Linked DNA regions of Alligator mississippiensis. The main gene of each other region encodes a partner of the protein of the gene in region 3 in a complex. Links are inferred from orthologs where the notes say so. Each region holds a gene or a part of one and is shown on either strand. Other genes may lie near its edges.

Region 1 (7,282 bases), on a different chromosome or scaffold from region 3:
CTCCATCCCCTTCTCAAAACCCATATCCTTTTGCCCCTGCTCTTGAAACCACTTGTCTCCCCTTCCCTTTCTTCCCTTCCCCTCCACTTCCTCCCAGGTTTTGCCAAGGCAGCAACTCTGCCTTTTACGCCACTGGTTTCTGTTAATAAGTATTACTCTAACCAGTCTTTACAAAGTTTCCCCCTTGGTGTGAAGTATAGCCAGTGTGTTATGGATGAATTAACACACCTGCCACAGCTGTTACAGCTTCATAAACAATAAAACCAACATCAGCAAAGGAAATGGAATCACTTATCTTTGGGAAGGATACCTTGGTTGTTATGCAAAACATTTCAAGGTGCACCTGAATTCTAGATTACTCAAGTCATATCTTTCCACCCAGGGAACATGCCAAATCATTACATAAGAAGTTTCTTCTCAACCTTCCTTGAAGAGTCAGTTTTTATACCAGGGATTAATTTGACCCATTCTGATGTAAATGATGTAGAAATTGTTCTGCATTCTGAATTTGAAAGCTATTCAGAGACTCAGTAGTATCCTATGGCTAGGATCCTATTTTAGCCAATTCTGCTTATATTTCACATTTCTCCTTTCCTATTCTCTGCTAATATTCTTAAGAATTCTTTTCCTGAAGCTGACTCCTCATTTCAGTTCATAATGTGATGTTGCAGTCACTTCCACAGAAACACACTGTGGCACTGAGCCAGCAAGGAGGGGTAGCGGGGAAACAGAAGAGAGATGGAGAGACCGGAAGCTGGTAAGTGCTTTGTGTCACTTAACTAAGGGTGCTGTTACAGGTTATATTTAAGCCATTCTGAATCTGGAATGTTAGGTCATCTTAAAGTAAGAGTAGTTTCAGAGCAGCCACAGGTTCAAGCTTAATGACATCGCAGACACGCACAAATGTGACTTGCCACTAAAGGGCCTGATGACCAAGGGCATGGACTCTTTATTGGGTGTGAGACAAAGCGGGAGGGTGGCATGTAGCTTGGAAACTAGCATGGGGGCTGTGGCTTCCCTCCCTCCACAGCAGCAGGAACCAAGCTGGAACCATGAGTGGGAGGAAAGAAATATTGAAAAACTGTTGGAAATGAAAGGAAAGGGGAGAAGTAAAGAGGAAGAAGCGAAAAAGAATAATAATAAAAAAAACCCTAAATCTTGCATGTGTCAATGAATTGGGATTGGGTCAAGTGGTGGTGGTGGGGAGTTGGGTTAGGGGTGGCAAGTTTCATGCTGCATGAGATGGAGGAACTGTCCTGGCTTGGGCGGGCTGTGCGGGGAAGGCATAGCCAGGGCATAGGGCTGAGAACAAGCATGCTTGCTGCATGACGCAGAGCACGTGTGGGGCTTGTGGGGCCAGGGAAACTGAGGCATGATGAAGTGGCCAGCTGGCAGTGGTGGGGAGGGGGGACTGAGTGGTGTGGTGGAGGGGAGGCACAGCCATGGGTTGTGGTGCCAGTGGGGAAGGGAGGGGGCTGGTATAGCAAGGAAGGAGGGAAGGAGACCCCTCTGCATCAGACCACCTTGGTCTCCTTAAAACCTTTAAGATTATGTAAAGCATTATGTAATTATTTAAAGCATTTTTAGTTGAAACAAACTAAAAAAATAAAGATGTTTTCATGTGTTAATGAACCGTGGGTGGTGGAAAGGGCTGGTCCCCCGGGAGTTCCCTGGCTCAGCCCAGCCAGCTGGCCCTATGCTAGCCTTCTCTGGGGAAAGCGGGGGGGGGGGGGGCAGATTGAGTTGGGTGGAGTGGGGTCATGCAGCCTGGGAGCAGGGTTGCTGAGACATGAGGGGTCATATCTTCCCATCCTGGCTGGGAGGATTGTCCTGGCAAGCCCCAGGTGCCTACAACAAGCCCTGCTGAGCCCCCCAGTTCCATCCCAGGTGGGAGAGTTTAGATGGGCCCAAGCTTCTCTCCCTTCTCCCCAAGTCCTCTATGGTCCCGTCACAACCTAGGAGGGAGGGAGCTGGTGTGCACCAAGTCAGTGAGCTTAGGTGACTGGCTCCAGGCCAGCTGTTTGCAAAGAGCTCTACAAAACCGGACTTCAGTCCCTAACCCCATCCCCATCCCTCCAAGCCATGGGTGGGCAATTATTTTGGGCGGAGGGCCGCTTATTGAGTTTGGGCAAGCCATCGAGGGCTGCATGACAGGCAGCCCGGGGCAGATAATTATTAATTTTCTAAATTTTTTAGGGGTCCCACGGGCCAGATAGAATGGCCTGGTGGGCTGTATCTGGCCCGTGGGCCGCATTTTGCCCACCCATGCTCCAAGCTTTGCTCAGGCCTGCCTGTGCCTTTAAACTGGACACAAAGTGTGGGAAAATTTCAATTAAGCTCAGTTTACTTGAGGTCAGTTGAAATTTTCCCACACCTACCTGGCCCTTTTCCCCTGTTCTCTCTTAGCCAGTCAGGTAGTGGGAGTAGAGTGGGGGGACAGCTTTCCTCAAGCCCCCTCCAAGTCTTGACCCAAGTAAAGAAGAATACGGGAAGGAAGCTCGATAGCGTGGGTCCAGGGAGTCATGCTTCCCTGGCACCAGAGATAAGCCCCAGCAGCAAGGAGCAGAGCTGCTGTAGGGAGAAAACACGGAATACAGGGAGGCATGTTTCCCCGGGCCCTAGTCTCACTGCAGTTACCTCCTGGCACCTCCACCCCCAGTGCAGAACTGCCAGCTGGGAGACCAGCGGAGGTTTGGAAGGTGGAAAGGGGTAAAGATGCTGGGAGCTGTGCTTCCTGAGATGCTGGAAGACTACAAATTGATGGCTTTATCTCTATGGAGCAGCCTAACACCTTATCTCCATCTGGGTCGAACAGCTCAAAAATAACCCTCATCCCAACTGGTAACGTTTAAAATGCTTATAGAATAGGTTAACACCCTTTCATGCATGAGTATTCCCATTTTAAGTGCCTTGAGAATAGTTTAAAGGTAACCTTTAAACCCACCCAAAAAGAAGTGACTAAGACCGTGGCTTTCAGCTGGGATGCCACAAGAAGTTGCCCATGGTGCTGTGAAGCTGGCACTGCTGGTGCCACCACTGCAGGGTGAAACTGGCCGGCATGCCTTGGTTTTCAGGAAGCATGTTGGGATCAGGAAGAGCTGTAACAGAAGTGGTGTACAGGCCCCCACAATGTAATACACGAAGGTGCACCTTTCTGGTGCAGCTGTGTCTCAGTTCAGCTCCAACGTGCTTCCTGAAAACAGGTGCGGGGGACAGTTTCATTTGCCCCAGACACCTCTTTCCAGGAGACACCATGCAAGGTCTGACCAGGCAGCACATGCTCCTGCCACAGCTGCTTCCCAATCTGGCTCTCCAAGAGGCGCACAGTGCAGTTCCACCTGGCCAGGGCAAGGGTGGCAGTGACAGCACTGTGGTACCCCGGTGGCCTGCCCCCTTCCCCACCCTGGCCTTGTGTGTGTTTTTGTCCACCTCCTTCCCCTCTCGCCTCCCCAGTGCTCCCCACATGCTCTGAGCACAGCCCAGCATCTGGTCCTCGGACTGTCCCTTATGTTCCCAGGGTTCAATATTAATAACATGAATTATTAATAGCCGGATGCCGTTAACATTCATAATACAGCGTTAGTTTTTTTAAATGGGGTTCTGCAAATTCGGGCAGGTTTTGGAGGGCTGCCTGGAGCCTAAAAAGGTTGAGAACCACTGATAGTGCACTTGTTTTATTTAGATCCCAGTCAGCATCACCATGTTGTGATCAGTCCGAGGTAATGCTTACTGCCGTCCCCCAATCTGGGCCTGTGCTGCCGGCAACGGGAGGAGGGAGACACGCGGAGGTCACCCCAGGAGAGGGTGCTGCTCCTGTCCCAGGACCTGGGCTGGTTTGAGAGCAGTGCTGGGGCCCAAGCTCAGGCCTGGAAACCTCTGACCGGGGTCGCGGCAGCACAAGGCCCCAGCCCGGACCCGGCCGCCCCTGGGACTCCCACGTAGCCCCCGGGCCCAGACACCACCGCACGGGAGGGGAGGGGAGGGGAGGGGAGGGGGAATGGAACGGAGCGGAGCGCGCTGATTGGCCTCATCCCACCCTGACTCATCCCTGCTCCCCCAGTGGGGGGGTGGTGTCACATGAGGACCCCGCTGTCCCCGCCTCCCTCCTCGCTCTGATTGGCTGCGCTGGCCCGCATGGCTTCACGTTCATTGGTGGTCATCCCCGTCAGCTCTCGCCGCGCCCGTGCCCAGCGGCATTTCCGGGCAAGCCGGGGACGCGGCCTGGGACCGGAAGTGGGCTTTGCTCGCGTGCCATCCGTTGCCTCCCGCTCGCGCCCCGCTTCGCCGCCATGGCTGAGTTCGACCTGTTCAGCGCGCCGCTCGCCCCGCAGCCTCCCGCCCCCGGCTTGGGGGGCGACGGCCCCGGTCTGGGCAACGGGCCGCTGGGCGCCGCCGAGGAAGACCCGGCCGCCGCCTTCCTGGCGCAGCAGGAGAACGAGATCGCGGGCATCGAGAACGACGAGGGCTACAGCGTCCTGGAGAATGGCGACGTGCCCACCGGCCTGCAGGGCCCCGACGGGCCCGGCCCAGGTACGCCCGGCCGGGGGAGGAGGGGAGGCTTGTGGAAGCGGGTCGCGCCCCCACCCTGCCCGGCCGCCGGCACGCGTCGGATTCCTGAGCGCTCTCGCCGGCTCTTGTTTGGTACAAACACGTCCTCGCTCGCTTCTCGCAGGATCCGTTGCCCTTGTTCTGACCTGGGAGCCAGGCACTGCCGCTTGGGACCCCTCTCTGCCTCCGGGCTCTTGCCTTGTTCTGTTCCAGACCTTGTTTTGATGTCTGGTGACTGTTTGCATCCAGCCAGGCCCAAGCTCGAGCTTTGTAGGATGAAAGATGGGTATATGGGGGTGCAGTTGTCCTTTCACTGTCTCTCTCTCTTTTTTTTTTTTTTTTTTTTTTTTTTCCTGCTTAAAGCTGGAGTTTAGAGCAATAATACCCTGTTTTGAGACTTTGATTCTGGCCTTGCTTCCTTCAGAGTTGAGTAACTGAAATAATCTTGTAAGACTCCTCTGAGTTGTAGGACTTGCAAGTCTGCTCCTGTGGAGCATGCCTAAAGCTGGTGGCTTCACTCTGAGGGCTAAACCAAAGCTGAGCCCCGCAAAGTGGCACCAAATCGTCTCCTGTTGTATCTAGGCTCACTGGAGATGAGACTGAAGGCTGTGGTGGGGATATTTCATTAAAACATGCTGGCAATCGGGCTAATGCTCTTCTGTGGAGGCTTTAGTCACTGTCTTTAGCAAACTTCATCTTCTTCATCTCCCCTCCCCCCCCCCCCAACTTTGCCAAACACATTCCATTCTTCTTTAAGGCAGGTGCTAAGAGAAAATATTCAGCCTGTTGTTATGTCTAGAAATTGACCTGTAATCAAAGCAGCCTTAAAAATGATGTGAAGTTTCAATGTTGTTGGCTATAGCCATGTTGGCCTAAGGACATAGGCAGGCAAGGTTCTTTGGTTAGATGTGATTATTTTTTTTATTAGGCCAACTAGATGTTTGCAAAGAACATTTTTTTTCCAACTTTTTAGGCAGAAACACCCGATAACACTATAGCTATGCTTACAGCTTCTCTATATGAGGGATGTTCCTCTTGACTGAGTTCTGTCAATCCGAGTACTTGATGAACTGTTTGGAACATGCACTTGCATTTCATTTTGATCCTGGCTAAGCCTGTCGGTTTGGTCGTCCTCGCTGCTCCCCAGCATTCCAGAGAACCTGCTGCTTGTTACCATAACTAAGTTTTGAATAGCTTCTGTCTTGCCGAACACTTCATTTTGAGGTGTAGGTTCAAGATGCCTCATCTCTTCTGCACGTATTTCAAGTTGGAAGGAAAGATCAATCTTCTACTGAAAAAAGTTTGCAAATGGGAGTTGTGGTCCCTAAACTGAAGTGTCTTGCAGAATGCTGCAAGGGTGAAGAGGTAGATGGCAACAATCTGAAGCTCCCAGATCTAAAATTCAGTGGTGATCGTCTTGTCCTCAAAGGCTGCTTTTCCAGTAAGCATGGTGTAATCCTTCAGTCTCAAAGTTCATAGCTATGTATGGAGTTGCTAGTCCAGAATATTGCTTGCATAATTAGAGAGATGTCTTATGGGGGAGTAACTTCCTTAGTTTTTTGTTTGGACCTGATAGCTTATCAGAAACCCATCCTGTACTGATACCAATTACTGACTGGCTTCATAAAGAGCAGCAGATGCTGACTGAATTGAACTTTTTAAACCAAGCTCGAGGTGGGGGGGTGTATGTTTTGGTTGTGGCTTTTTTTTTGTGTGTGTAGCTTCTTTGTTTTTGTTTTGTTTTTCTTACAATAAAGTCCTCTGGTGGCAGGCGGGCAGGGGGGAATGCCCCAGTATGTCACCTGTGATATGGCCTTCTTTTGCAGTGGGACAGTTCTGAAACCAGCTCAATCAGCCCTTGCTCTGTAGTGTGGCTGCCTAACTGTGGATCCTTACCTAATTCTAAACTTTGCAAAACTAATTTGGCTTAATATCCAAAGCTAGTTCTCATTGTTTTGTATGGTGTTCATAGTCTTAATTGGTAGATCACTCAGATACAGTAAATGTCTTATGGTCACCTTAGTTGCTCTTCAAAATTAAACGGCACACATGCATGTCTTAGCTTCATGTATGGTAATCTCCTTGACTGTAAATTTCCACCTAAGCTCTTCACTTAATATTTATATATACCAGCAACCTGTTTTAATACATAATGCAATTTTGTAAGACCTTTGTTATCAGGGTTTTCCTCTTAAAATAATCCCATTGTGCTTCAGAAAAGCACAGGCTTTCAGCTGGATAGTTGCAGTTCGTTGTGATGTCTCTGTCTTCTGAAGCAGTGTGGTTGTCGTCTTCTCTTCCCCAAAGGGTGGGGGGAAGCTTATAATCTCCTAGTTCTAGGATAAAACTTTATAAAATGTTGTTGGAGTTAAATTTGGTTCCAGTGCATTTATTAAGTATCTTGTATTTAACATGACAAAGCTAGCTAACTAAATGCAGGCAGATGGCCTCCTGAACCCTGTTTACCTCCCAAATCCTGAAGCTCTGCATCAGGGGATTTAAGGATTTACTTTTTTTTTTAAAACCTTTAACCTTTTTGAACTGCGTCATACATAAATAATGCTACATTGCATGAGTTTTTGTATACCAAAGCAGGATAAAGATCTTTAAATAACTGTTTTAAAGAAATCTATTTATCTAAATTTTTGTTGCATGTGCCCAACATGGGTTACCAGTTTATGTAGTGAAGAGTGGTTGCTGACGTGCAAGTTGCATGGGCCTTTAAGGACTCTAC
Region 2 (7,416 bases), on a different chromosome or scaffold from region 3:
TTGGGGCTCCACTGTGGAGTTGGGGTCTGTATCCAGAGCACTGATCTGCCATGAGACTCTGGGGAAGCCACTCTCTGTGCCTTGGGTCCACTCATCTGTCAGGTGAGGTTAATAATATTTATTCTTGTCACAAGAATTTTGCTAGGCAGAACTCCAAAGAGGGAAAGCACTCCCATGAATGGTTCCTTGCTGTATCCCCATCACTTCTGATAACTCACAACCAGGTGCAGCCCACCTTCTTCCTTACTGTCTACGAGGCTTCCACTCTTGTGGGCTCTCATAACCCTTCTTCTCCATCTGACGCATGCAAGGCACTGCCAACACTGGGCTCTCCTCTCCGATTCTTCCGTTACCAGCCCTGACTACTCTGACCTCTTCCCCTTTGTTGCTGGCGGTCAGCTGCAAACCGTTTTTTCCATCATGAGCAGAGAGAAGCTGCTTACAATCTGGGTACTCTTCTGATCAAAATATCTAGGGGTAGGGAAGGGAGTGGAAACCACCAGCATCTAGAAGCGAGTAAAAAAAGCAAACCAGACCAAATTCCATTCACTCCAGGAAGCAACGGCCATTTACACTAGAAGCATCTGTGAGAACGCTCCTCCACTAAACAGAGCCTGTCTGCATGGATGAAACAAATACAAAAATAAAAATCACACACACCTTTTCATCCCTGAAGGAACATGCCCTTATACGATTAAGCCAAACTGATCCTTTCCCCCCACATTAATGGGTTGCAAGCTGCATGCCCAGCTGCTGCCCATCCTCCCAGTGTCCAGCACTGCTCTATTAATATAGCTTGTGTCATTCTTTGGTCTCTTTGAAATGAGTCGCACTCACAAAAAAATGAATGTGGGGGCAGGGAGAACAACACTTTTGAGGTGTAAAAACATGACAACTGCCTGGGTGCTCAACACTAGCAATATGAGTGCATGCCTGGGGACATGTGCACAGTTCCAAATATGCTTCACAGCACAGACTTCTCCCCCACTGGGAGAGGATGAGACCAAACCTATGACTAATGTTAGTCATGTTGCTACTAGATGGCATTCAGATATTACAGTAATGAGGTCTGAGTAAGAAGCTGATTAGGACAGAACGTCATGGCAAGGCAGGACTAGGAAGCCCACTGGAAACTTTTGGTTGGTTAGGAAGATGGGTAACAGAGGGTTTTGGTCACTGGGGAAAGCCGAGAAGAGAAGAGAAGAGAAGAGAAGAGAAGAGAAGAGAAGAGAGAAAAGGGCTGGTGGGGAACAGCTGTAAAGGAGGAATGTACACAAATGCTCTATGGGGAAAGGAACACAGGTGGTCCATGTGTACAGGAGAGGCTGCCGGTCGACGATTTCTGTGATGAACATGCACTCTGCTTGTCGTTGGTTCAGTTATCCAGTGGCTTCAGACAGTCAATGTCTGCAAGAGGCAATCTGACCCAAAACACTGTGGAACAGAAAGGCTGAGAGAGAGAGAGAGGACCAGCAATCAAGGCAGCTGTCAGAAAGACAAAGTCTCTGAAAACCTAATTCCTATTTCACACACACACACACGATATGTAGAAAGACCATACATAGAGAACCATAGGAGAAAATAGTACCTAACCCCTTTTAAAACTTCCTGGGAGCACCCCGCTCCCTGCCCCGTCTCTCCTACCCTTTTTTGTATTTCAGCTCCAAAACAATTTTCCATTCTTGTCTACAGTTTCTTTGTGCCCCTTCTCTTTAGAGCAGTACCTCCCCGCTCTTCTCTCAGGTTAAATGACTAATATGACGACAGGGAACGTTGTTCTCTAAAGTTGTGCAAGGTCTCGGATTAGGCCCAATCATGCTCCCTCCACGTTTTTGGGCTTAACTGGTAGCTCTGACTCCCTGCCTTACTACAGCCTTCATGGGGCAGGGGATAATGAGGGGTCATCTTCCTAAAAAAACCCAACATGGTGGTAAATCCACCCTGCAATAAAACAAACCCCCAATCCTGCAAAAAGCTGAGGCAGGTGCCTAGCGCTGGTAGCAGAAATCAATCCTGGCCAGAAGCTGTGCAGCGCAGGGCCATGGCATCTGCATTATAACGCTGATCTGTGCCAAACCGATGACACGACGGACACATGTCCAGTCTGGCCCGATTTCCCTGGGTTTTGCAGAAGCTTCCCTGCCTAAGGGGTAACTCTGTGAGGAGCTGCTGGAGGCAGGGGGCACTAGCAGGGGAGACAGCGCTCTGGGGAAGGGTTTCTGTTGCCAGGGCTGGGGGGATACATGGCACTGCTCCAATGCCAGGCAATGGATACGCCACCCACCTCTGCGCCCAGCAGCTGGTTCTGGATCTGCAAGAAGCCAATGCCTTGGGGGTAGCCTAAAACCTAGAAGCAAGAGTGCAGGGCCCTGCTCCATACTGAGAGCGAGGTGCAGCCTGCACCCAAGGGTACCCACCCCACCTCCCTTCCTCCAGGGACACCCCATGCCTCCCCAGCCAATCAGGGAGCAGCTTCTGGCCAAAGAAAGCCAGGGGGAGGGACGGATGTCAAGCAGGCAATTACTGCCCCGCCTGCCCGCAGGGGGCGGGGCTCAGGTCGCGGCACCTTTAATGCGGGAAACTTTCTCCGCCGCCCGCGACCCCCTCGCGTAGGGATTAGCTGGGAGGGCGGCCGCCACGGTTCCACGTCTCTGGCCCCTCCCTATTGGTGGCAGAGCGCCGTCAATCAAAGCACCGTCACTTCCCCATTGGCTGAAGTCGCGTCAACCCCGCCTTAAAGAGGGAGTAAGTCCCACCCCACTCCCCCTACCACGCACCTACTCGGCGGCTAGCGCGGTCACTTTCTGGGGGAGGGGGCGGGGTCGGGGTCGGGCCGGCTAGTGGACGAGTCCAAATGTCAAGGACGTCGTGGGGGGGGGGGGGGCTTGGGGGCCACACTCACCGATGCGCTGCCCCACGGGGGAGCTGAACGGGTTTCCCAGGAGAAACTCCATCGCGGCCGCCGCGCACCTCGGCAGTCAGCTGACCGCCAGCGCCCGTCACGTGAGCGTCGCGGGGTGGAGCTGAGGGCCCGGCCACCTGTGACGTCAGCGGCGGCCGCTTGTGATTGGCTGGAGGGCGAGACCCCGGTTGAGTACGTTCTCCGCTCGCCTTAAGCGGAGTGGTGACGCCACTGCGCCTGCCGTGACGTCACAGGCGCGTGGCACTTCCCGGCTCCCTGTATGGACAGGGAGGGGCCTGATGGGGCGGGGGAGGGGGGACATTTCCTTACGCTCTGCAGGCTCCCTTAGTGGGCCTGGCAACAGATGGCAGCCTGCAGGGGGCGGCCCTGACTGGCTAGCCCAGAGGGCTGGGGGGCATGGTGAGCACCCAATCTCAGGGGGTGCATATGCACCCCTACGCATCCTGCATGGCTAAAAGTGTTCAAAATGTATTTATTTGCACATATCTAGTTGGCCTAATAAAAGATACCACCTCTTCCACGAGTTTTGATTCCTTTTGCCTCTAGACCAATAGGGCTACGACTGGGATACCTGACAAAATGTGCAATAGCTTTTGATGCAGTTAATTGATGCAGCATCTATAAAACGCAAGTCACTCTCCGGTAGGGTTGCCAACCCTCCAGGATTGCTCTGGAGTCCCCAGGAATTGGACACGAATCTCCAGGAGACTGCTGAGAGTCACCCAGGAGATAAATGATAGGGCATTCGTTAAAGTGTTGAATCCAATTTATACAGTGGGATTTTAAAATGTACTAGTCATGTGCATTTGCCTTCCTGATGTAAAATCTACACACTGTAATCCATAACTGACATACACAAGCATGCGGGCAAATGCGTGTTGTGTTGTGGGCATGTTGGTGTTCCAAAAGCCTCCCAGAATAGATCCAAACTGTTGGCAACCCTGCTCTCAGGGAATCTTAACCAACTTCTGGGTTCATGCTCAGCAATTGCTTATGCCTGCTTGCCTCAAAACTTCAATTTTGATGACCCAGTTCTCACTCACTGGGGACTTCCAGTGAGCAATATGAAGTAACTGCAGAACAATTTACAATACATAGACCTGAAACACAAAACAGAGAGAAAAGACTAATCATAGCAATCAATTCAGTTTAACCAGTTGGAGAAAGAGTTAAACAAAATGTCATAGTGTCAAGTGCAGTGCAGGATGCAATGATACCAGTATAAGGCAGGAGTGGGCAAAATGCGGCCCGGGAGCCAGATGTGGCCTGCCAGGCCATTCTATCCAACCCGTGGGGCCCCTAAAAAATTTAGAAAATTAATATTAATCTGCCCTAGGCTGCCTGTCATGCAGCCCTCGATTGCCTGCCAAAACTCAGTAAGTGGCCCTCTGCCCAAAATAACCGCTTGCCCCTGGTATAAGGCAACATGATGTTACTTAGTTGTATACTTAAATTTTTTCAGTGTATGACAGTTTTTCTGAAAATACAATCATTTTGAGCTTCCAATACAATATTTTCATATTTAAGACCTGGTAACACTGTTCCCAGGAGACAGATGGCAGAGAGAAGTAAAGCTGAAAAGGATCTTAAGAGATCATCTAGTCTAGCAGTTTGCAACCCCCAGCACGTGCCAGAGCACAGCACGCAAAGCCATTTTGTTCAGCTGGCCCCAGCTCTGGGCAGGCCTCTACTGTGGAGCCCAAGCTGCTTGCAGAGTCTGGTCCTTGAGCCACAGAGTCAACTACAGTCAGCGCAGGCCTTTCAGCAGCTGAGAGGAGGCTGCAGGCTAGGATTCCTCTCCTCCTTTTCCTTCCCCCACTCCCTCTCTTCCATCGAAACAGACTAGTGCTTGGTTGAGGCTGAGGAGTCAGTTGACAGTCAGCTCCAGTTGACAGTCAGCTGGGGCTCTTGATGTCAGCATCTATTTGCTTAGGGTGTGCCTTCAATGTGTCATCATAGCCTTTTCTCTGGCCACTGGGAAATCTCAGGCAAGAGAGGATATGGCCTTTACACCCCTTCCCACCATGGCCCACATTATTGGTAGTACCATCCCCCACCACCACACCTCCTTAGCAGTACCAGTTGTCACCTCTACTTGCGAATCCTTGGCAGGAAGGGACCAGGGACAAAAAAAACCCTCTCTCTCTAGCAATTCTTCCATAGGAGAAATACTGCAAGTTGCAACAACACCAGTAAGAACTTCCAGAAAATGTGCCCCTTGCTGTAATGTTGCACATGTAATAGGTCTGTTAAGAGCACCAAGGCCATTACCAAGTACCAATCCTCATTTTGACAAAGCTGCCTACTCCAAATGGCAAAGTCCAATTCCACATTGCTTCCATTTGTGCAGATTGTGTTAGCTCACGCTGCAGCCTCTGTAAGATGGACTGAACACTGGTTCTTCTGCCTCTGTGATTAGCCTGGCTTGTTAGCTCTGTTGTGGTCACAATAGTGGGGATAGGGACAGCTGAAAAAGCAATGGAAAAGCTACCATTTTTGCAATGGCGACTGCACTAGCAAGCCTAAGACCCCCACTTCCATGGTTTCAAATAAGCTGATACCATGTCTAAGTAGTAAACAAGCATGTTGCATGAGGTGAGCCTGAAATGGGGCCTGAAAGTCTGTAGTCCTTACAATGAAGAATTCCAGGAAAACTACTGCTTAAATGTGTTGAAATGGTTGTGGGTAGGTGTTTCCTGGTTATAACGTTATTTTCCTTTGAACTTGTGTTGAAATGTCTCCTTACAAAAAGTGCAACTTGAGTTGGTGAGGAATCACATTTTGCATGATCATCATATATTGGGACATTGCTACACAGAAGTTTTGAGCCTATAACTGAGTCTCTCTGCTCTTGAAAATAGGGTGTTTTGAAAGAGTATTACAAGATGTGATCCTGCCATTGCTGAGGGATCCTGAAACACTTGTATCATTTTGCCTGCCATTCACTGAATGGTAAACAAGGAGAGGGGCAGGCAGATAACCTGGTACTAGGGCATTTAAGTGACAACCCTCTGTAGTCATGCAGGTCTTTTACTGAGGCTGCTAAATGGTACAACTCAGTAATCTCCAAGTTGTATTTCAAGCAGCCTTTCATTAGAAATAAGACACTGAAGTACCCAGCCAAGAACCACAGGATGGGTCTAGATTTCAAATACCAGAGACATTTCATTCCATAAAACGAAATGCTAGGACAGCTAGAGTAGTGAGGGAAGTGACAACCAGCAAATTACAAATACCAAGCAAAAAAATAAATGACACAAAACTCCAAATGTTAAAAAAAATTATATTGTAAGTACAGTACAAAAAGTTTCTTTATACAATTGTAATGCAATCTGGATCAAATGGCAGGAAAATAACAAAAATATAAAAACTGCTAGTTCTCAGTCCAAAGTTTTTCCCTCTAGTACCAAATACCACAAGATACAGATTATACAAATGTGTACAAATTTTAAATAAAAATACAATACATTAGGGTTGTGTGTGTGTTTCTAAACTCTTCAAGAGTTTACTGTTATACAGATGGTAAAGCTAAAGCTGATCCCCTTCTGTTCCTTAGATAGAGATCTGCAAATCTTTTTCTTTGATACAATACTCCATCTCTTGTGGAGAGCTGGAAATGGAGCCAAGCATTTTATGCCACTTGCAAGAACCATGGTAAATGTCCAGATCCAGAAGCCAGACAGACTTTCCCATATCTCCAAGCTCCCTCAAATTCTGCTTCAAATTAGCCATATCTGGGTGAGAGATTTCTGCCTTATACTGAGGTTCTGAAAGAGTCCTGTTCCATCCACCAAACCAGCCCTTCTGATAGACAAATAAAAGCAACACTGAACTGGGAAAAGGGGAAGCTCTGCAAGAGACAGTAGCTGGGAAGGAAACTGGCAGGAAGCCCCTTCCAGGCACCTGAAGATTGGCTTTAAAATGAAATAGATTTAGGTCTCAGCAATAATGAGGAACAGCTCATTTTCAGCTGCCCTGGAAAAGAGAGAAAGCACAATTTGTAACAGCACAGAAGTGCTCTGATTCTGCTACTTTAACATCTGTAATGTTATAATGGAGGGCGAGGCCAAAGCCAAAATAAAAGGCTTCCCATTTCAGCTTCCACCCAACATCACTGGACACCCTGTTGGCCACAAGGGCTCAAAGTTTTGTTGGCTGCTATTCCCCCTTGCAGAGCCTAGCTTTGCCATAACAGATGCAGCTTATTCCTGCAGGAACTAGGGATGGGCACAGCTGATTCATATTTTCCACACACTTGGTGGAGGGAAGGACTTTTGTTTTTAAATTATATCTATATACACAGAAATATACAGGATAAATTAAAATCTATTACAGATATTGGTAAAAGTTAAATACACAATATGGACACCACGCACACATACACACAAGCCTATGTGAGAATCAAGTGCTTTCCTGCAACTCACATTGGAGGAGCAGGAGCTTGGAATGCCAACATGTGGCTGTGGGGAGCAGGGATCTGTCCAATGAACCCA
Region 3 (7,338 bases):
GAACACAGAGCCCCCTTCCAGCTGGTGCAACAGTCATTGCCTTGAGTTACACACCCTCTGGCTTGTTCTCTTCTGGCCCACACTATCTTCCTTTCTTGGCTGCTCAGGGGGCGAACTTCAAAAGGACCACTGGGGATGCAACCGGATAACACCTAACCTGAGGTGGTTAGGGCACTGCTGAGAAATCAGAGATGAAAGTTCAAACCCTCTCTGGGTGATGGGGACCCATCACCCAGGTCTCCTGCTTCCTGGGTGAGCACCCTAGGCACTCTGCTATTCCATTTATAATTATGGGCTCTGGACAGTTACATTTTTGTGGCTTACGTGTCCAGAAAAGGTTTGCATACACAGGTGCATACCTGCCAGCCAATATGTAACCTACAGCATATGTTCAGTCTAATAAAAGTGAGTACCTATGAGTGGAAACAGATTTTGCTTTTTGTTACACTTGTATCTCCATAAAAATGTTGATGTCTGCCCAAAGGCCAAGCAAACAGACATTAAACCCTTTGCTGTGCCACAAATGCCCAAAATTTATGGCTGCAGCAAGGCGGTATTAATGTATGCCTCTTTATTGCTGGAGTCTGATTTGTGGCAGGAGACTGCCTGCACATCCTAAATGACCTGGGCGAGCGCTCTGTGAGTTTGAGGGACCAGCTCCTGTGCCCCCCAAGAATTCCTGCATGGGATCAGGTCCCTCAAGCCCTGGGAATGCCTGCCTGGCTTTCCTCTCTTACAGGGACCTGGCCCCAGGATCTCTGGGGTACACCTCCCTAGCCAGGGAAAGTTGGGTTTCCTTTACAGAGATGTGCCCCTGGGAAATATTGGGGCCATGTCTCTGTAGGCGGGGAAGCATCCTGTAGGCGGGAAAGCAGACATACGCGGGGCCTCAGGGGCCCAATTCTGCATGGGAATTCCTGAAGTATGTAGGACCAGGCTCCTCAAGTCCTGGGAGAACACGTCACCCATTGTCCCACAGCATCAACAAGTGGGACAATGGGTGATGTATGTCTCACCCAATGAAGTGGATCAGTAGTGCCAGGACACATGCCAGCACAACTCATCCACTTCATTTGGCGACTTCATATTTCTAGCCTCAGCACCCACAGTGCAAGGTAAGAAAATAACAACCTGTACCTAAGTGCTAAAAAGGCTACTTCTATGGCTAGAAAACTGCCAGTCAGGCACACAAAATGTAGTAGAATTTCATCCTTGGTGTCCACTGGCCCACAATCACCCGAGATGGCATCATGCTAGGTAATCACCCAAAGAGAAAAAGATTTGACAAGATGTGTTGTGCACATGGATTCCACGTCTCACCCATGTTCCTCACTACTACCTAGTCCTAATCCTTTGAAATTCTGTTGGAAAAAGACATGAAGGACAGTTGGGTCCACTCTATGCTTAAACCCTCCAGTACAGGGACTAGGTCAAAGATAATCTGTTGTGCAGACGCAGCCTTGATGGACGCTGTTGGGCAGAGGAATCCAGTCCCATGCACATGGAGTGGACAATAGCAATAAACCAACACTATAATACAACACACACATTCAGATGAACAGTGATAAGATCTCACAAAATCTATAGTTGTCCTCCCTCATGGTTCTCCTGGCTTTGGTACTGTGCTCTTAGGATCCTTGAAGGATTTTGATGTGCTTTATTTTCCAAGAAGCTGGGACAGCACTGATGTACTTCTTGCTCCACATGATAGATTATTTTTAGCAAACAGTAAATTCTGGAGACTTTTTTGAAAGAGTTATGTCTACATTTTCCATCTGTACCAAATGTACTTTTTTGGATTTCTTCTTTTGCATGGAAAACAGAATGTGCTTTACTTAATAGGAAGAATATAGTCATGGTATGGTACAGTCATTGGGACTGCTACAATGCATATATTATTCCTGCTTAGATGGCCATTAAGTTCAGTCTCGCTGATGAAAATTTATTTCCTAAAATGACTGTAAAGTAAAAATAGACCTGACCTAAAATCCCAAATTGGCCATCCTGCCCTTATCCATAGTTTTGGAAAAGCTTAACATGATTCAGACTCTCTAGCTTTGGTTCATCTCTTTTATAGATGAAGTTTGAGATGTCTCTTGCTGTTGGTTCCTTGTGTACAGAAAAGGTAAAAGTGAAATACATTTCATCATTTTTAGTTGGTCTAATAAAAGATACTGGATTTACCCAAAGAATGTTGTCTACCATACATTTCATCATGTATTTTATTCCAAGTCACAGAAAAATACCAAGAATAATTCTTACATCCACGTTTTAACTTTGGTGTTCATTTTCCTCTAAATTGCTTTCTTATGAGAAGTTGGCGGACACAGCTGGAGAACAAACTGTATCCTGGATTTTTTTTAGAGCTCCCCAAGAGAAAAGTATAAGACAGATATATTCTTTTTAACCAGGAAGTGGAACCTGAGGTCTTGAAGAAATTCTCTGCAGTGTTACAGCAAACATTTGGATGCACAACATCTTTTCACAAGTGTAATCTATCACAATGTTTATCTGTTTAAAAGGTAACAGCCCTTGATTTAGTCATCTCTTGTAAAGTTCACAAAGAGGAAGTGAAGTATTTCCATTCCAAGCTGCAGTCATTGCCCACAACAATTTTAAGAAATGTGTTTACCTCCAAGTTAAATAAAATTGTCCCTGAAAATGACAAATACATTGAATATCCATAAGGACACAAAGACCAAGGACCAAAGACAAAGGAATATTTATGAGTTATTTTAAAATAATTTGTTCCAAGGTTAATATAAATTTAGGTAATACAAATGATATGGTCAGGTGAAGCTCAGCAGGTCTCTCAGGAGTTTCTCTAAATACTTCCTTCTAAAAATGGTGATAACTGCTAACTTTTTTTTCCTGCTTTAGGATGATGCACCCCAAAGTTCAGCCACTCTAAATTTCAGAGTCTTTATTTGTATAGGGAAAAAAAATCCCTCAGGAAGAACCGAGTAATTTGTATACATTAAATATGTTTGGTTGACCATTTCCTGCCAGGATGTAGCCTATTTCCATGAGGCTTTTTAACTAGTCAGCACATGCTAAATATAACACAGTTTGCCATTCACATTCCCCCCTCCCCAACATAAAAATAATCCTTATCTGGGTGTATGTTCTGCAAACAGAAATCAGGATTAACTACTGTCCTGAAAGGCAATATTTGAAATGGCCGGTATCACACTCCCCTGGTCTAGGAACTCAGAACTGTCACTGGAAAAAACCTGGAATTAGTTTTAAACACCATATGAAGGCATCCGGGAGCATCCAATGAAGGGCAATAGTGGCAAAATGTGGGTTTGAAGAGACCTGGGTGCTTTCTGCCCAAAACTGAACACGTGCCCCCTTGAGTTTGCATGCACATCTGAGCCCCTGGGATGTGACATGCTCTGAACTTGACATGCACCTGCAAACACACCTGAACTTGACACAGCCACCCTCCCCCCCCGAATCTGGTGCACACACACCTACATGTGATGTGTGTGCACCACCCCCCCCCCCCCACCTTGGACACCTCTCCTGAACTTGGCACACACGCCTGCACTCCTGAATCTCACACACCTGAACCTCTCTCTTTCTCTCTCTCTCTCAGGGGTGCAGGTTGTAGCCCTGTTGGTCTAAGGACAGAGTCAAGCAAGGTTCTTTGGGTGAATCTGATATCATTTATTAGACCAACTTAAATAGCTGGAAATTTTTTTTTAGCAAGCTTTCTGGTTTAAAAACCCTTGGTCAGGCTGGGGAAACCTCTGCAGTCAGTGTTGCTTTTCCTGGGTGGATGCAATTCTTTACTATTCATCCCAGCCACCAACTGCAGAGCCTTCCCCAGCCTGACCAAGGGTTTTTTAAACCGGAAAGCTTGCTACAATTGTTTTTTTTTCCAGCTATTTAAGTTGGCCGAATAAAAGATATCAGACTCACCCAAAGCACCTTGTCTCCCTCTTACACCCCCCAACCTGTCTCACAGCCCCCACTCCTGAACCTGTTACACACACGTACGTGTTGGTGTAATAAAAGATACCAGATTCACCCAGAGATCCTTGTCTGCACACACGCACCTCGTGAACTGCACACCTGTGGACCTGTCGCGCACGCATACGCGCTCCCCCTCCCCCCGCCTGTCACGCCCAGCCCTAACCGCGGGAACCCGCCCGCTCGCCCCCGCCTCGGGCCGGCCGCTGGTGCCGGCCGCCCCTCTCCTGCCGGCGGCGCTTCCGGGGCGGGGCCGGGCCGCAGCACCGCCCCCCGCCCCGCCCCGCCCCGCCCCGCTCGCAGCCGGCGCTGACGTGCGCCTGGCCCGTGGAGCAGCAGCGCCCGCCGGACACGGAGCTCAGCAGCGCCCGGCGGTAACTGCGCCCGCGCCCCTTCCTCTCTTCTCCTCTCCCCTCCCCTCCCCGTCCACCCCCTGGGCCGCGGCGCAGCGCAGCGCAGCGCAGCGCGGGCTGCCGCGGGGCCGGGGCGGCAGGGCAGCGGCTGTGACAGCCCCGCGGGTTTGGCTGGGCCAGAAGCGGCGCCGCCTCCGCTCCTTTCCCCGGGGGCCGGCGGGGGCAGCCCGGGGAAGTGCCGCCTGGCCCGAGCCCCGCTCTGCCCCTTGGGGGCTCCCGCGCCCGGCCACGGCAGGGGCGCTTGCACCGAGTCGGGCGCTGCTGCCCTCGCCCCGCCGGGGGGGGGCCTCGTGCCCTGCCCTACCCTGCCCTGCCCCGCGGCCCGCCCGCCCTCCTCCCCGTGCCCGCGGGGCCGAGCGGCAGGCGCGGGGCTCAGGGGTGCAGGGCCTCCCTGGGGACCCCCGGAAGCCGCCCTCCGGTGACTGTTCACCACCTCCTCCTCTGCTAGATAAGTGGGACGATGATAATTAATTTCATAACACGTATTTAATTAATAATACTAGTAGTAATTATCATCATCAGAACTTCCTTACTGCTCGAGGCGGGTATCCTGCCTGCCTTGACAGCAGGGTTGTTGGTTGTAGTCTCCTGGGTCTTAAGGGCAGAGGCAGGCATGGTTGCTTGGGTAGATGTGATCTCTTTTATTAGACCAACTCCAAAGCTGGAAAAACGGTTCTTTGCAAGCCTGAAAGTTGGCAAAGCTTGTAAAGAACCTTTTTCCGACTTTGGAGTTGGTCTGTCTAATAAAAGAGACCGCATCTATCTGGGGACCCTTGCCTGCCTTGACAGCAGCCTTCTGTGGCGTTCGGGTGATGGCTTGTGTGGGATGCTCTGGGCAGGGCTGCCTGCCTCAGGCAGGGGTGAGATGATCAGCCTGAGTTTCTCAACCTGTGGGTCACGACCCAAAAATGGGTCACAAGAATAATGGATCAACATACTTTCAAAAAGGATTCTTCTTTCAAGGAGAAAATCGGGGGAAACTGGCTTTTCCCTTGCAGGTTGGCAGAGTTTCACCCTGCAAGGGGCTGCTTGGGGCACCCCTTACCCCCACATCCCCCTCCCCCACACACTGGGGGAGCTGGGACCTGGGGGCAGGGGAGCACTGGGTTGGGAGTGAGGGGCACTGGGTTGGGACTGGATATCGGTGTTAACAAATGGATCCTGGTACAAAAAAGGTTGCGAACCATTGGACTAGATGACCTCTGGAGGTCCCTTCCAGCCCTGCTTCTCTCTGACTCTTTGTCATCTAAAAGACGACAACTTCTCCATGATGCTGCTGGAGCGTCTGTGTGTGCGTTAATTCGCTTTTCCTAATGCGCATTAAATTTAGTACCGTACCTCCAATGTGAGGTACTAAATAAATGCGTGTTAGGCTAACCAGAGGCACTGTATCGAAAGCAGACATTTTTAAAGTGATATTTAATGCAGTTGTCTATTTTACTGCGCATTAGTGTTATTGCACTTTTTTGTACATGGCACTTTAATGTGCAATAAAATAAACTACTGCACATTAAAGCGTGCGTGTAGACTCACCCAGTGTCATCTAAGATGACAATTCCTTGCTACGGTGCTTTGGGAGAACCTTCCCCTCGCACAGATAACATCAGCCTATGTTAATGCTAAAGTTGCACGAGTTTTCAGTGGTTTGTTGTCTCCCCTTCAGGAGCTGAAGATGCTACTGTGGGGGTTGGGGAGTATAATTTTTTTTTTTTTTAATCCCATTGAAAACTTAATTTCTAAGCACTTCATTTTTAAATAATTGTCAAGCAGGGAAAGGTTTTGTGTGAAGGTTCTTTGCCTTATGCTTACTCAGTCATTGCCTGAAGTTCAGTGCCCAGCATGTCTTGGGTATCATTAATGTTTACATGCTATATGACAGATGCATTCCTAAGCAGTAAGTCCTATAATACCAGAAACCTGTAAAACTTTGTTGTGGCTAAATTAATGGACAGCACAGATTAAATGAAAGGGTGTTTTCTACCTCTCGCGTAGTTTACGTGCTGTTGCTGGTATGCAGCAGCCCTTTTGTTTCTGACCATGGAGCGTATGTGTATGTCATAATTTTAAAATTGGTGCCTTGGGTAGGTCAGGAAGGAAAATAACTTTCTGTGATGTGATCTAATTTCTCTTTGTTTAGCTGAAGTTATTAGGCTGTAAAATGGTCTATGAACTCAGTCTGCAGCAATCAGAGTACAAAGGTTGACAATAGAGCCTAGTTTTCCTTTGTTGCAAATGTCACAAATTAACAGGATGTAAAGAGGTTAAATTCTCGGGTCAAATTCAGCATACAGTTATTTTTCAAGAAAAAAAAAAGGGAAAACGTGTTGCTTTTCTTCTTTAAGCTGTGTGTTTAAAGCTTCTGGAATATTTTCAAAACAAAGTCTTCCTGTGGTATTTGATGAGCATTGCGACACATCTTTACATTGTTTGCCTAAGATGTGAGAATGGAGTGATTGTAGACAAAAGTGAAACTAGTTGACTTATTTGACTTCATTGTATAGACTGGCATAAATGCAAAATAAAAATATTGAAAAGTAAACATTTACTAATCCTTGAAAGTATTTTTACCATGGTAAAAATATAAATTTTAACTTGACCGTATCTTTCAGTACACTTTTTTAAAAAAAAACAGAAATAGGTTAACTAATTACATTTTATAGAACTATAATAGCAGCTTTGTGAAACATAAAAATCTTGAGAATGACTGACTACACTAAGAATAAAGACAATACTATATAATTTGATAGTCTCTGGTTATAATTTTAACTTGTACATCCAGTTTATATTAAATAATTGTATCTAGTATCTTTTTATCTTAAGTTTTTAACAAGGCTTTTGATACTATCCCATTTGACATTCTTACAGGCAGGCTAAGGAATTATGCCTAGATGAGGTGGGTATACACTCAGTTGGAAAATTGCTTTTAATGAATAATCTCCCTTAAACA

The links.
Region 1: the proteins of MYO6 (region 3) and CLTA are in contact, whole or in part, in an NMR structure (PDB 6E5N), measured with the Homo sapiens proteins. The link is inferred for Alligator mississippiensis from reciprocal best matches to the Homo sapiens genes MYO6 and CLTA. Residues at the interface, in NP_001355794.1 of Homo sapiens: Met1053, Thr1054, Pro1055, Met1058, Ala1059, Met1062, Ser1087, Trp1089, Lys1090, Tyr1091, Glu1113, Arg1117, Leu1118, Val1120, Tyr1121, Trp1124, Asn1128; in NP_009027.1 of Homo sapiens: Glu47, Asn48, Glu50, Ala51, Phe52, Ile54, Leu55, Asp56, Gly57, Gly58, Ala59, Pro60, Gly61.
Region 2: the proteins of MYO6 (region 3) and TOM1 are in contact, whole or in part, in a crystal structure (PDB 6J56), measured with the Homo sapiens proteins. The link is inferred for Alligator mississippiensis from reciprocal best matches to the Homo sapiens genes MYO6 and TOM1. Residues at the interface, in NP_001355794.1 of Homo sapiens: Ile1182, Phe1184, Trp1202, Gln1214, Glu1216, His1218, Asp1220, Lys1221, Pro1222, Ile1224, Leu1226, Glu1234, Met1235, Cys1236, Leu1238, Glu1242, Thr1243, Gly1244, Leu1245, Arg1247; in NP_005479.1 of Homo sapiens: Ser440, Glu441, Phe443, Phe446, Leu447, Arg450, Ala451, Ala453, Ala454, Asp455, Leu457, Pro458, Asn459, Leu460, Ser461.

The regions. Positions count from the first base shown.
Region 1 is NC_081826.1:150,237,855-150,245,136, forward strand, and holds the start of CLTA (clathrin light chain A), read left to right. Parts: upstream 1-4,200; 5' UTR 4,201-4,289; coding exon 4,290-4,530; intron 4,531-7,282. UniProt on the Homo sapiens protein: Clathrin is the major protein of the polyhedral coat of coated pits and vesicles.
Region 2 is NC_081827.1:101,669,631-101,677,046, forward strand, and holds the start of TOM1 (target of Myb1 membrane trafficking protein), read right to left. Parts: upstream 3,013-7,416; 5' UTR 2,955-3,012; coding exon 2,903-2,954; intron 1-2,902.
Region 3 is NC_081824.1:65,992,789-66,000,126, forward strand, and holds the start of MYO6 (unconventional myosin-VI), read left to right. Parts: upstream 1-4,256; 5' UTR 4,257-4,352; intron 4,353-7,338. UniProt on the Homo sapiens protein: Myosins are actin-based motor molecules with ATPase activity. Unconventional myosins serve in intracellular movements. Myosin 6 is a reverse-direction motor protein that moves towards the minus-end of actin filaments.